Linked DNA regions of Lonchura striata. The protein of the gene in region 2 binds, or shares a complex with, the protein of the main gene of each other region. Links are inferred from orthologs where the notes say so. Each region holds a gene or a part of one and is shown on either strand. Other genes may lie near its edges.

Region 1 (7,243 bases), on a different chromosome or scaffold from region 2:
TTGATTTTCGTTTAACCATTTTCCCATGTTTCCAACTAAATTTCTTGACTAAAAAATTGTTCATTATATTCTTGATACTTTAAAATAATCTGCTTGTTAAGTTATATATTATAGAGAGAGGAGTCACTCTGTCCAGTTAATACCCACCATTGCATAAAATAAAATGAGCAAGACCACATCTCCATTCGCTGATCACATCCTACAGGAGGAGTGACCTCCAAAATCACTTTCAAACACCAGAAAGCCAGATTCTGCAGATTCCTTGGTTATTCTTGCTTCAAGCCCAGTCTTACTTCAAGACAATTCCACTGCAATTCCTACTCCCGACCCCCATTCTGTATATAATGACTTTGTGCATTTTATATTCATTTTCTTACACAAAGAAGATGCTTACCCCATGTGTTATGGTCATGAGTAGTCCATTTTTTTCCTGATAATTTCTGAATTCTTTTCTGTTGCTGTAATAATTTTTCATATGCTAAAATCTGTTCTATGATAGATTGTGGATATGATATGTTATATAACAGATTCATTAATTTATTTTGAACCCCAGAACTCTCCTCTCTTTTGTAAAAAGAAACAGGGAGATGTTGTGGTGTATTTTGCTTTGAAAACATGTTTGCCCCCTGTTCTCCTCCCTAATCCCCTCCCTTACCCAGCTGCCAATTTTCCCAAGCCCTTCCCTAACTTCCTCCCTTCAAGTTGTCAATCCTTCCTATCCCTACCCCTTTCTCCAGAGAGTTTGGTGTCTGTCTTATTGTCCTCGATACCCCACTCCTTACTTTGTGTTATTTCCCTCCCCACCATTTTCCCTGATAGGCTCATAGGCTATTTGCCTCACCTTATATTCCTCCCTTACCATATCCTCACTGGTTCACTTTCCTACACCCGCCTCCTGAGTTGCTGTATAAAAACTTCTGTTCACCCCCCGCCAGTCTTGTCAGGGAGCCCAGGAATAAATCCATCTTGTTCTACACCAAGCCCCGTGTCATGGCTGTCTGTCCCTGCTCTGTCCCTGTGGATAACTGGGAATTGCAGAGCTCGCAGGGGGACGGTCGCGGCCCTGCCGCAGCCGCCCAGCACGCCCCGCACAGCGCGCTGCAACACCTCAGGAATCAGAACACCTAATTTGTACAGTGAGTCAGGAAAAGGAGTGGCTTGTTTACCCCAAAAAAATGTCGCCATTGCATTGCATAATTCCAGCAGGGCACACAAGAAGTGCCCAAACCAGCATCTGTTTGCAGGAACAAAGATGAATCATCCCTGAACTGGCTCAGCGCTAAACAGAGTGTTTTATGAAAGTTCTGTGATGCAACATCCCCAGGTTGAATTCATCCATCCCCTGTGCCCTCTGCATGGGTGCCTCGTGTGGGCAGCACGATCAAGGAGCGCAGATCTTCCAGCAGCAGCAACTCTCTATTGTGTGTTTGGCTCCACCAGATCTACTTCTTTTAGTAAGGCAACAACACTTGGAGGCTGTAGGACAGCAGAAGGTCCTCCTGAGAGCTGCATCTGCTGCTGTCTGTGTGGACCAACAACCGTTCCACAGCCCCACTATCACACGTGGCACCACGGAGGAGATCCCAAACTCAGCTCCTCAAACTGCTCCCAGGCCTTAGCACACCCAGCCCTCTCTGCATGTTCCTACCGAATCACTTGCAGAGACAAGGAATTTCAGGAAGAAAGGATAGCCAGTAAATGCCCCAGTAAATGCTGCAAAAACTACCATCAGTTTGGGGTAAATACCAGGACTCAGAAGATCAGGTTTACGCCTCTGGAAAAAAAAATAAAATTGCTGCACTAACCAAGCAACCCAGAGTTTTCTCAGAGTTTTCTGGTTTGTGTCCTTTCAGCTCCTTGCTGGAAGATCCATTCAGCTCAGTATGAGTCTCTGACAGCCCTGAGTTCTCTCCTCTGTTCTGTATCATCCCTGTCTGCCCCTTCAATGCTGGGGTAGCAGCTGGCCATACCAGCTGACTTGGAGCAGCACAATAACACTGCCAGGTCCCAAACTATTGCCTGTGCAAAGCCCACCCCAGCCTGGGTCTCCTGAAACTTCCCTAGATTTCCATAAGCTGGCAGGAACCCCAAGAGTTTTAAAGGTCTGCTCCTCTGTCTCATTTGGCTGAGAGTGGCTCCAGAAGTCACTGCCAGACAAAAGACAGCACCACAGCATGTGTGTATTTACTGCACCTCCTTGAGGCAGCTCTAACCCCCCAAATTAGTGACCATCAGATAGCAACTGGGTTGAGTCAATCCTCTCATATTTGCCTGATGTATTTGATGCTTTGAGAGGGCTGAATATGTCAATTAGTTTAGGAATTTCCCTCCATTGCTAGCCCTGGGATGTCCTCTTGGAGAAATGCTGGAGCAAACTCATGCTCCAGAAAGAATTACTGCATTTGTCATTAATTATTCTCTGACCTTTCCTTTTTGTTGGCTTTGCAAACCACTTATACACAGAACAACTGTAGTGGCATGATTCCACATCTGATTCTGCTGCTCTTGGGGTTTATCTGAATCTTCCCAGGGCTGCATCAGACACTGCTGGGCAGCACATGGCACAGCTCGGACTGGCAAAATCAGCATCCTGGAGCAGTGCAGCTTTAACCACACTACTGTGTGCCAGTCACTCAGCAAAGCAGCAGTCACAGGCAACAGCTGTCAAGTACTTTGGATCAGAAATGTCATTTAGAGAGAACCAGTGCACAAAAAAGAGCATTTATGATCAGAAAACTCAAGAGACTGTTGTGAACAGCTGCAAAGAAGAATCAGCATTTCTGGCTTCCTATTTACAGATGCTTGCACAAACAAATTAACTTGAATGAATTCACCCTGATTTATTAGAGGATGTGCCAGGCTCGGTCAGTCCTGGGGCCATCAAATCCCAGGGCCAGCCAGAGCCACACTCTCAGAGCAGCTTTACCAGCAAAACCCACACCTTTGTGCCAGAGAGGCTGAGAGCAGAGGAGCTGTCACAAACAGGCTGAGCACTGAAGCTCTCCTTATGGCCTCAGGACCAGCTCTGTTGTCTCATGGCAGTGGATGAGAGAAGCTCTGTGAAGGAGGCAGCTGAACCCCAGTGAGGCAGTGAGCATAGTAGGAAACAGTCCAGGGACCATCTGAAGGTGGTTTTGTAGCATGAAGGGATTCACGTTCCAAGCAGCCATCCATGGTCCAGAAAGTTTATGTGACTGACCACCTAACCCCACCAGTCTCTCCAGTCCTGGGAACAGTACATGCTGGGTCACCTGGGCCTTTAGGGACCACATCCCAGAACTCAGCCTTTCTCCATTTCTGCAGGCAGGTGCAACTCTAATCTACAGCTCAGAGGCTGAATAAACCCAACCAAAAAAGGTTCTCTTGGATATTATCCAGCTCTTTTCAGTGGCAACACCAGCACATTCAGCAAAGCCTAGTTTTAATTACATGAAAAATTACTGTCTTCATATACCACATGAAATGCCTTTTACACTATCACTAATTTTTAGGAGTTTATAATGTCTTCCTTCCACTTGCCTCCATTCAGATGAAGTGTCATAAAGACTATTTTTGTGTGAGACTGTGTGAATGGGCTGCACATGTGCCCAGGGATGGGGATGGAGGAATGGTTGTTGGAGAACAGGGAAGTCCATGCTGGGAAGGTAGGTGATTGAAAGTCTTCCCAGAGCTCTTAAGCTGTGGAGCTGTTGAAGCCACATAGACTGAGAACCCGAGTCAGCCAAGAGCCGTCTGAAACCAGACACGGTCACGAGCGCTCAGCCGTGACCCTCACCATGGCCACAGCAAACGCGCAGGCACATACCATGGGCATCCGTGAAATACCTGAAAAATAAAGCATTGTCTGAGGGGATTTCCAGACAGCTCAGAAGCCACCGACACTCCTCGTCCGAGACCGGCCCAGCCCGCCAGGCCTTGCCCCGGCTGGGCAGAGCTCCCATCCAGAGGCACCTGGCATCCACAGGCGGGAGGGATAGACCGTGGTCAGGCCGATGCCCCTCGAGAACAGACACATCCGTGTCCTCTGGCGGAGGAGCTGCTGTCCCGTGTGGCCGTCCTGGGCAAAGCGGACCCGAACGGGACAGCTCGGAGCGGGACCCCCGCCTGGCCACGCCAAGCGCGCTCCTGCTAATTTGGCCCCTCCGCGGCCGCCGTAGTTGCGAGTGGTGTCGGGAGAGGGCTGTGTGAGGGCTGCCGGGACGTGTAGTCTGCCCGGGCGGGCCGGTTCGTTGGCGGCGTGTTCCCCGGCGCCGCCCGGGAACTACAGCCGGCGGCAGCGGCGGACCGCGCGCCGGGATGGCGGCCCCCTTGGTGCTGGTGGTGCTGGCGGCCGTGACGGTGCGCGCCGCGCTCTACCGCTCCAGCCTCGCCGTCTTCATCGCCGAGCGGGTCGAGGTGGCGTCCCCGCTAAACGCCTGGAAGCGAGGTGAGGCCCGGCGAGCCCGGGCCGGGGCGCTGCTGGCCGGGCCGAGCCCCGCGGCGGCGGCGCGGAGGAGCCAGGGCGGCGGGACCCCCCGAGCCGGGCGGGCGGCGGGCTAGCAGCGGCCCCGCGGGGAGAGCGCCCGGCCGCGCCCCGGGCAGGGCAGGGCCGTGCTCTCCCGGCCCGAAGTAGAGCTGCACGAAAGGGCCCTGAGCAGCTGTGCCCGGGAGGAGCCCATGGGAGCCGGTGCTCGGTGGCTCCGGGGCCGGGAAGGCCGGGGCTGGAGCCAGGGCGTCGTGCTCCACGGCCGGGGACACCGGTGGTGTCACACACGTACACAAACGGGCGTGACCCGCCCAGCACGGAGCGTGTGGCTGCATCGGCCTCGGCCGGGCGCGCTGCGCTGTCCCTGCGCAGGCACCGTGTCGCGGTGAGAATGCCACTGCACGGGCCCCGGCTCACTTCCCTTGCTCAGCTGGTGTCCCCACACATTGTTGGCGATTTACATTCTCTTCTGAAGGCTGAGTAAGGTCCTGGGTTATCGGGGCTTTTCAGTGACGTTCATCTGTGTGCCATCTGAGGCTTAGGAACCTTAGTTTATTTTAAAGATGTCCCTTTGTTATCCAGTTATTATGCAGATAAAATTATTTGCAGTTTTGGGGTGGAAAAGAGTGGCCAGAAGTAATAAAGGTCAAAAGTACAAGTGTATTTGGTGACTTGAGGCTTCTGCTCCACAGTATATAGCACTTCATGCTTCCTGTGCTATTGAATCTTTCTAAATACCACCTTAGAGCATCAAGGTAGGTATCTAGATAGTAAAGGGAAAAGGTGGGATCATCTTGAAAAGTCTGGGCTGTCACCATACAGGAAGTTAATGGCAGCCAGAATCTATTTCTAATAGAAATATTTATGTAACACTGAATTGAGCACCTCTTGTGTTTTCCTGCAGTGTCCTGCCTGTTTCCCTCTGAACAAATGGACCATTTCCCTTAGCTTCTTTTCACTGCATACTGCTCAGTCCCAGGGAACCTCTGTGCTTAGGAGGGTGGAGCTTCCATGGTAAAGCACACACACACATTGCCTAGCAAGCTGTAACTCCATGAGCACAAAGGAGCTGAATTAAGGTTATAAAATGGCAGGAAGTTTCAACGAGAGATAAAGCTTTTAGCTTTGCCTAGCAATATGTGTTCATTTCTGTTCTTCCCTTGTGATTTCGGACGTTTGAGGCCTCTCTACAGCTAATGAGGCAAACCAGTTCAACTTTTATACTATGTTATGGCTGTCTTCTTGGAATTAAGTATTTCTCCAGCATATATGCCATATGTCACTTAATAGGTGAGTCAAAAGGAGGAGATACCATGCATGTGATTTATACAGAGTTAAGTGCAAAAGATTTCATTTCCAACATTTTTGGCTGAAACATATAAATAGGTGATGAGTGCCCGTGCAGGAACGTGTGCGGCAGAGCTGGGCTGAATTTCTTCTGGCTGGCTGTTGGCCCTGGGAGGTATGGTGTCATCCATGCTGCGTGAGATTCTTAGAGTGTCAGTATTTTGAAAACTGCAGTTTTATCCTCGTGGGATCTCTCACTTCCCACATTACAGGGTTCTAATGCAGGTATTTTGTCTGTTTCAGTGGTCGAAGGATTAGCCCTGCTGGATTTAGGGGTCTCGCCATACTCTGGAGCTATTTTTCATGAGGTTGGTTGGTTTACATGATGGGTTTTAAATGTGATATTCCAGTGGCAGGGGTCTTAGTGTGGCTGCTCAGGGCCTAGAGAAGGCTGGGGGCCTGCTTTGTCCCAAAGACTGCAGAGAACCTGAAGTTGTGTGGTTTGTCGGAGCAGTGGTTTCTCCAGCACAAGGAAATCCAGATAATCCCACTGAATTCCCTGTGCAGGGGCAGGCAGTGTCATAATTGTTACTGCATAAAGAAACTCTGAGACAAGGGGGACTCTGTAATAAGTCAAATACTCTGTTCACATCCAGCTTTCCTCTCAGCACAAGCTGGAGTAGGGACAATGTCACTGTGAGTCTGATAGGATTTACACAGTATCAGCACCTGGAGTCTCTGCATTTGCAGAAATTCTAATAGTAGCACAAGCATGCAGTTTATTTATTCCTTATCTTGAAAACACCTTGTGCTTACAAAAACACTTAAACACCTGTGAGGTTTTGTGCCCTCGAATACCCTTACTGACATGAAGGTACTTTCATACATGGTGTTGCCTGGGGTAAAGCGAGGACTTGGTATCCTCTGAAAACAGGATTCTTTTTAATACATTCTATTTCTTTAGACATAATTTTTCCCAGACTGTGAAATATTTCCCATGCTTATTTAGACCATCACATTAAAAGGGAAAAGCTCTAGGAGTAAGAGGATGATAGGATTGTAACCCTACAGCTTTATGTTTTTAACATGCTTTTTTCTTTTTGCTTTGTAAAAGACACATCTAAACAGCAGGGGAACCAGCTATATATGAAATCTTTCCAAAGTACCTGCAGACAACCTGAAAAATAGATTTTCTATAAAAAATTACTTTCTAAAGCTGGTCTTTGTATGTTTTCTATTGTAAGTCTACCATTATTGTAATAGAATTGAAAAGTTGGAGTATAACACAATTTTCAGAGTTGATGGTGCCTTTTATAAAGTGCATTGAGGACTTTGCAAGGAAAAAGACCAGTAAGTGTGCTTTGATTAATCACTTTGCTCTGAAATACCAGTGTTGCAGTAAAGGCCAAAGAAAATAACCTTTGGCAGTGTCTAGTAGAACTGCTCAACTCTGGTACTTTGTCTCATCAAACCACTGGTATTTTATCTGGT
Region 2 (7,563 bases):
GATTGAGCGGCCTGGCCCGGCCGTGCCCCGCAGGTTCGGGGGTTTGGGGCATTTTGGGGCATTTTGGGGCATTTCGGGGCATTTCGGGGGTTTGGGGCACTCCGGGGGGCCCCGAGGGCGCAGGGGCTGCGGGGCAGGGGAAGGGCCGGGCCAGGCCCGTGTGGGATGCGGGGAGCGCGGTGTAGGGGCGTGGGGGAGGGCAGGGCCTGAGGGGGATTTGGGGTGGGGAGGGGATTTGGGGTGTCTGAGGAGATTTGGGGTGTCTGTGAGGGAATTGGGGTGTCCGTGGGGTGGGGAGTGGATTTGGGGTGTCTGTGAGGGAATTGGGGTGTCCGTGAGGAAAATTGGGGTGGGGAGGGGATTTGGGGTGTCTGGGGAGGGGGGTTTGGGGTGTCTGTGAGGGAATTGGGGTGTCTGTGAGGGAATTGGGGTGTCCTTGATGAGTTTTGGGGTGTCCGTGAGGAGAATTGGGGTGTCCGTGAGGAGAATTGGGGTGTCTGTGAGGGAATTGGGGTGTCTGTGAGGGAATTTGGGGTGGGGAGGGGATTTGGGGTGTCTGAGGATATTTGGGGTGTCTGTGAGGGAATTGGGGTGGGGAGTGGATTTGGGGTGTCCGTGAGGAGGTTTGGGGTGGGGAGGGCATTTGGGGTGTCTGTGAAGGGATTTGGGGTGTTCGTGGGGTGGGGAGGGGATTTGGGGTGTCCGTTGGGTGAGGAGGGGTTGGGGGCTCTGTGGGATTTTGGGGTCCCTGTGGGTTTTGGGGTCTCAGTGGGGTTTGGGGTCTCAGTGGGGTCTCAGTGGGGTTTTGGGGTCTCAGTGGGGTTTGGGGTCTCAGTGGGGTCTCAGTGGGGTTTTGGGGTCTCAGTGGGTTTTGGGGTCTCAGTGGGGTTTTGGGGTCTCTATGGGGTCTCAGTGGGTTTTGGGGTCTCAGTGGGGTTTGGGGTCTCTATGGGGTCTCAGTGGGATTTTGGGTCCCTGTGGGTTTTGGGGTCTCAGCGCTGTTTTGGGGTCTCAGTGGGGTCTCAGTGGGGTTTTGGGGTCTCAGTGGGGTTTTTGGGTCTCAGCGCTGTTTTGGGGTCTCAGTGGGGTCTCAGTGGGGTTTTGGGGTCTCAGGGGGGTTTTTGGGTCTCAGTGGGGCTTTGGGGTCTCAGTAGGGTCTCAGTGGGGTTTTGGGGTCTCAGCGCTGTTTTGGGGTCTCAGTGGGGTCTCAGTGGGGTTTTGGGGTCTCAGCGCTGTTTTGGGGTCTCTGTGGGGTCTCAGTGGGGTTTTGGGGTCTCAGGGGGGTCTCAGTGGGACTTTGGGGTCTCTGTGGGGTCTCAGTGGGGTTTTTGGGTCTCAGTGGGGCTTTGGGGTCTCAGTGGGGTCTCAGTGGGGTTTTGGGGTCTCAGTGGGGCTTTGGGGTCTCAGTGGGGTCTCAGTGGGGTTTTGGGGTCTCAGCGCTGTTTTGGGGTCCCCACAGCCCGGTCCCCCTGCCATGGGGCTGCTGTCGGACCCGCAGTGCCGGCGGGCACTGGCCCGGCTGCTGCTGCGCCTCAACACCCCCCTCTGGTGAGTGGGGGGGACCCCGAAACCGGGGGGACCCCAAAACCCTGGGGGGGACCCCAACACCCCCCTCTGGTGAGTGGGGGGGACCCCGAAACCGGGGGGGACCCCAAAACCTCTGGGGGGGACCCCAACACCCCCCTCTGGTGAGTGGGGGGGACCCCGAAACCGGGGGGGACCCCAAAACCCTGGGGGGGACCTCAACACCCCCCTCTGGTGAGTGGGGGGATCCCAAAACCTGGGGGGACCCCAAAACCCTGGGGGGGACCCGAACAACCCCTCTGGTGAGTGGGGGGGACCCCAAAACCTGGGGAGACCCCAAAACCTCTGGGGGGGGGTGTCAGGGCTGGGTTTGGAGTGTCACTGATGGTTTTGGGGTTATTTTTGGGGTGCCGATGGTGACTTTGGGGTGTCACTGATGGTTATGGGGTTATCTTTGGGGTGTCACTGATGGTTTTGGGGTTATCTTTGGGGTGTCACTGATGGTTTTGGGGTGCCCCCACAGCATCCTCAGTTACCTGGCGGGGCTTGGCTGGTTCCTGCTGCTGCCCGCCCTGGCTCCCTGCATGTACCTGTGCAGGGTGGGGGTGTCACTGATGGTTATGGGGTTATCTTTGGGGTGCCGATGGTGATTTTGGGGTGCCGATGGTGATTTTGGGGTGCCCCCCGCAGCATCCTCAGTTACCTGGCGGGGCTCGGCTGGTTCCTGCTGCTGCCCGCCCTGGCTCCCCGCACGTACCTGTGCAGGGTGGGCGTGTCAGGGCTGGGTTTGGGGTGTCACTGATGGTTTTGGGGTTATTTTTGGGGTGCCAATGGGGATTTTGGGGTGCCCCCACAGCATCCTCAGTTACCTGGCGGGGCTCGGCTGGTTCCTGCTGCTGCCCGCCCTGGCTCCCCGCACGTACCTGTGCAGGGTGGGGGTGTCAGGGCTGGGTTAGGGGTGGGTTTGGGGTGCCGATGGTGACTTTGGGGTGTCACTGATGGTTTTGGGGTGCCCCCACAGCATCCTCAGTTACCTGGCGGGGCTCAGCTGGTTCCTGCTGCTGCCCGCCCTGGCTCCCCGCACGTACCTGTGCAGGGTGGGGGTGTCACTGATGGTTTTGGGGTTATTTTTGGGGTGCCAATGGTGATTTTGGGGTGCCCCCACAGCATCCTCAGTTACCTGGCGGGGCTCGGCTGGTTCCTGCTGCTGCCCGCCCTGGCTCCCCGCACGTACCTGTCCGAGAACGCCATGGGCTCCACCATGGTGGGGGAGGGCTCCGACCTCGGGCCCCGCGCCCTGGCCCTGGCCCGCGACTTCGGGGCGCACAAGAGGAGAGCGGGGTGAGAACAGAGGGATTGGGGTTGGGGTTTGGGATTTGGGGGGTTTGGGGAACACACCCGCGACTTCGGGGCGCACAAGAGGAGAGCGGGGTGAGAACGGGGGGATTGGGGTTGGAATTGGGACTTGGGGGGTTTGGGGAACACCCCCGCGACTTCGGGGCGCACAAGAGGAGAGTGGGGTGAGAATGGGGGGATTGGGGTTGGGATTTGGGATTTGGGGGGTTTGGGGAACATACCCACGACTTTGGGGGGCACAAGAGGAGAGCGGGGTGAGAACGGGGGGATTGGGGTTGGGGAGGGAGACACACCCGTGACTTTGAGGGGCACAAGATGAGAGCGGGGTGAAAACGGGGGATTTGGGGTTGGGATTTGGGATTTGGGGGGTTCGGGGAACACACCCGCGACTTCGGGGCGCACGAGAGGAGAGCGGGGTGAGAACAGGGGGATTGAGGTTTGGGGGTCTGGGGAGGGGGACACACCCGGGAATTTTGGGGGGCACAAGAGGAGAGCGGGGTGAGAACGGAGGGATTGGGTTTGGGATTGGGATTTGGGGGTTTTGGGGAGGGGAACACATCTGGGGCTTCGGGGGGCACAAGAGGAGAGTGGGATGAGAACGAGGGATTTGGGATTGGGGTTTGGGGGGTTTCGATTGGGATTTGGGGAGGGGGACACAGCGGGGACTTCGGGGTGCACAAGAGGAGAGCGAGGTGAGACCCTGGAGTGGGGTTTGGGGTTAGGTTTGGGGAGGGGGGACACACCCGGGGCTTTGGGGTGCACAGGAGGAGAGCGGGGTGAGAACGGGGGGATTGGGGTTTGGGGAGGGGAGACACACCCGGGAATTTTGGGGTGCACAGGAGGAGAGCGGGGTGAGAACGGGGTGTTTGGGGTTGGTTTTGGGGGTGGATTGGGGGATTTGGGGAGGGGAACACACCAGGGAATTTTGGGGGATGAGTGGAGAGCAGAGTGACGCCTTTGGGGTTGGGAGGAGTTTGGGGGAGTTCCATTGCCACTCCTGCTTGGAGTGGCTGGAGAGGGGATTTGGGGGATGGTTTGGGGTGCCCCAATCCCAATCCCATATTTATTTATTTGTTTTGGGGCATGCCTGTGGAGTGGCTGGAGCAGACCTGTGGGCTCTGGGGATGGTTTGGGATATCCCAATCCCAATCCCAATCCCAATCCCATTTTTATCCATTTTATCCCATATTTTTTTGTTCAGGGGCATGCCCGTGGAGTGGCTGGAGCAGACCTGTGGGCTTTGGGGATGCTTTGGGATATCCCAATCCCAATCCCAATCCCATTTTTATCCATTTTATCCTGTATTTTTTTGTTCAGGGGCATGCCCGTGGAGTGGCTGGAGCAGACCTGTGGGCTCTGGGGATGGTTTGGGGATGCTTTGGGATATCCCAATCCCAATCCCAATCCCATTTTTATCCATTTTATCCCATATTTTTTTGTTCAGGGGCATGCCCGGTGGGAGTGGCTGGAGCAGACCTGTGGGCTCTGGGGATGGTTTGGGATATCCCAATCCCAATCCCAATCCCATTTTTATCCATTTTATCCCGTATTTATTTATTTAGGGGCATGCCCGTGGAGTGGCTGGAGCAGACCTGTGGGCTCTGGGGATGCTTTGGGATATCCCAATCCCATTTTTATCCATTTTATCCCGTATTTTTTTGTTCAGGGCATGCCCGTGGAGTGGCTGGAGCAGACCATGTTCCAGCTGGGGCTCGAGGTCCATCGCCAGCCCTTCAGCCGCACGCTGCCCCTTCCCGACGAGGCCCACGAGCGCTACGTACTGGGAGCACTGGGAGCACTGGGAGCACTGGGAACGGGGGAGGGGGGACTGGGAGCACTGGGAACGGGGGAGGGGGGGACTGGGAGCACTGGGAATGGGGCACTGGGAGCACTGGGAACGGGGCACTGGGAGCACTGGGAATGGGGGACTGGGAGCACTGGGAACGGGGCACTGGGAGCACTGGGGATACTGGGAACGGGGCACTGGGAGCACTGGGAACGGGGCACTGGGAGCACTGGGAACGGGGCACTGGAGCACTTGGTGGCACTTGGGGTCCCCAGGGCAGTGGGGGTCCCTGGAACCCTCGCTGTCCCAGCCTTCCTGAGGATTGCTGGGGGGTCTCTGGGCGGGTTTGGGGTCCCCTGGCAGGTTTGGGGTCCTTGTTCAGGTTTTGGGGTGCCGTGGGGATGTCTGGGGTCCCTGTTCAGGTTTTGGGGTGCCGTGGGGATGTTTGGGGTGCTGACCCCGCTGTCCCTCCCAGCTGGTGCGGGGCACCAACGTTTTCGGGGTGCTGCAGGGATGTTGGGGGTCCCTGGGTGGGTTTTGGGGTCCCTGTTCAGGTTTTGGGGTGCCATGGGGATGTCTGGGGTCTCTGTTCGGGTTTGGGGTGCTGTGGGGATGTTTGGGGTGCTGTGGGGATGTTTGAGGTCCTTGGGTGGGTTTTGGGGTCCCTGTTCAGGTTTTGGGGTGCCATGGGGATGTCTGGGGTCCCTGTTCGGGTTTGGGGTGCTGTGGGGATGTTTGGGGTGCTGCGGGGATGTTGGGGGTCCCTGGGTGGGTTTTGGGGTCCCTGTTCAGGTTTGGGGTGCTGACCCCGCTGTCCCTCCCAGCTGGTGCGGGGCACCAACGTTTTCGGGGTGCTGCGGGGATGTTGGGGGTCCCTGGATGGGTTTTGGGGTCCCTGTTCAGGTTTTGGGGTGCTGTGGGGATGCCTGGGGTCCCTGTTCGGGTTTTGGGGTGCTGACCCCGCTGTCCCTCCCCAGCTGGTGCGGGGCACCAACGTTTTCGGGGTGCTGCGGGCCCCCCGTGCCGCCAGCACCGAGGCGCTGCTGCTGCTGGTGCCCGGCTCCGAGGGCAGCAAGAACAGCCAGGCCGTGGGGCTGCTGCTGGCGCTGGCGGGCTACTGCCGAGGTGGGGCACGGGGGCACGGGGCTACGGGGGTACGGGGGGTACGGGGGGTACGGGGGGCTACTGCCGAGGTGGGGCACGGGGGTACGGGGCTACGGGGGTACGGGGGGTACGGGGGGTACGGGGGGCTACTGCCGAGGTGGGGCACGGGGGTACCGGGGGGCACGGGGGTACGGGGGGCACGGGGAGTACGGGGGGCACGGGGGGTACGGGGGGCTACTGCCGAGGGGGGGCACGGGGGCACGGGGGCACGGGGGTACCGGGGGGTACCGGGGGGCATGGGGGGTACGGGGGGCACGGGGGGCTACTGCCGAGGTGGGGCACGGGGGCACGGGGGTACGGGGGCACGGGGGGCACGGGGGTACGGGGGTACCGGGGGTACCGGGGGTACCGGGGGCTACTGCCGAGGTGGGGCACGGGGGGTACCGGGGGTACCGGGGGCTACTGCCGAGGTGGGGCACGGGGGGTACCGGGGGTACCGGGGGCTACTGCCGAGGTGGGGCACGGGGGCACGGGGGTACGGGGGGTACCGGGGGCTACGGGTGTACCGGGGGCTACTGCCGAGGTGGGGCACGGGGGTACGGGGGCGCTGCTGGGGCTCGGGGTCTCTGGGGGCTCAGGGGATGTACTGGAGCTGTACTGGGAGGTACTGGGCTGTACTGGTCCATACTGGTTTCCCAGGCCAGGTGTACTGGGCCAAAGATCTCATCTTCCTGGGGCTGTACTGGTCCATACTGGTCCGTACTGGTCCATACTGGTCCGTACTGGTCCATACTGGTCTGTACTGGTTCCTAGGCCAGGTGTACTGGGCCAAAGATCTCATCTTCCTGGGGCTGTACTGGTCCATACTGGCCTGTACTGGTCCATTCTGGTCCGTACTGGTCCATACTGGTCCGTACTGGTCCATACTGGTTTGTACTGGTTCCCAGGCCAGGTGTACTGGGCCAAGGATCTCATCTTCCTGGTGACCGAGCACGACCTGCTGGGGACACAGGCCTGGCTGGAGGCCTACCATGATGTCAACCTTACTGGTGAGACTGGGAGCACTGGGAGGGGCTGGGGGACACTGTGTGACCCTTACTGGTGAGACTGGGAGCACTGGGAGACAGGCTGGGACCCTTACTGGTGAGACTGGGAGCACTGGGACAGGCTGGGGGACACTGTGTGACCCTTACTGGTGAGACTGGGAGCACTGGGAGGGGCTGGGACCTTTACTGGTGAGACTGGGAGCACTGGGGGGGACTGGGAGCCCTGGGAGGGGCTGGGAGGGCTCAGGGCCCCCCAAGTGACCCTGGGCACGGACACGGTGACCGCAGTGGGCACGGGGGTCCCACGGGGGTCCCGTGGCTGTTCTGGGGGTCCCGTGGGGGTGCCCTGGGGGTCTCAGGGGGTCTCACAGTGCCCCCTCCCCAGGCATGCAGTCGGGGGGCTCCCGGGCCGGGTGGGGCCATCCAGGCGGCGCTGGGGGTGCCGTTGCCATTCTGGGGGTCCCGTGGCTGTTCTGGGGGTGCCGTTGCCATCCTGGGGGTGCCGTTGCCATTCTGGGGGTGCCGTGGCCGTTCTGGGGGTGCCCTGGGGGTCTCAGGGGGTCTCAGGTGTGCCCCCCTCCCCAGGCATGCAGTCGGGGGGTCCCGGGCCGGGTGGGCGCCATCCGGGTGACCCTGGGCATGGACACAGTGACCGCAGTGGGCGCGGGGTGCCGTTGCCATCCTGGGGGTGCCGTTGCCATTCTGGGGGTGCCATGGGGGTGCCCTGGGGGTCTCAGGGGGTCTCAC

Evidence for each region.
Region 1: the proteins of GPAA1 (region 2) and PIGU are in contact, whole or in part, in a cryo-EM structure (PDB 8IMX), measured with the Homo sapiens proteins. The link is inferred for Lonchura striata from reciprocal best matches to the Homo sapiens genes GPAA1 and PIGU. Residues at the interface, in NP_003792.1 of Homo sapiens: Gln245, Leu310, Arg311, Arg313, Phe358, Leu359, Ile371, Ala389, Leu390, Trp393, His397, Leu500, Ile504, Leu508, Cys512, Leu515, Thr516; in NP_536724.1 of Homo sapiens: Tyr349, Ile355, Phe356, Cys360, Ile363, Val364, Leu367, Leu368, Val371, Leu372, Leu375, Ile377, Tyr378, Ala379, Gly380, Ser381, Phe386.

The regions. Positions count from the first base shown.
Region 1 is NC_134619.1:14,259,752-14,266,994, forward strand, and holds the start of PIGU (GPI-anchor transamidase component PIGU), read left to right. Parts: upstream 1-4,227; 5' UTR 4,228-4,296; coding exon 4,297-4,426; intron 4,427-6,055; coding exon 6,056-6,120; intron 6,121-7,243. UniProt on the Homo sapiens protein: Component of the glycosylphosphatidylinositol-anchor (GPI-anchor) transamidase (GPI-T) complex that catalyzes the formation of the linkage between a proprotein and a GPI-anchor and participates in GPI anchored protein biosynthesis.
Region 2 is NC_134603.1:829,548-837,110, forward strand, and holds the start of GPAA1 (GPI-anchor transamidase component GPAA1), read left to right. Parts: upstream 1-4,549; coding exon 4,550-4,657; intron 4,658-5,643; coding exon 5,644-5,791; intron 5,792-6,583; coding exon 6,584-6,643; intron 6,644-6,717; coding exon 6,718-6,819; intron 6,820-7,563. UniProt on the Homo sapiens protein: Component of the glycosylphosphatidylinositol-anchor (GPI-anchor) transamidase (GPI-T) complex that catalyzes the formation of the linkage between a proprotein and a GPI-anchor and participates in GPI anchored protein biosynthesis. Binds GPI-anchor.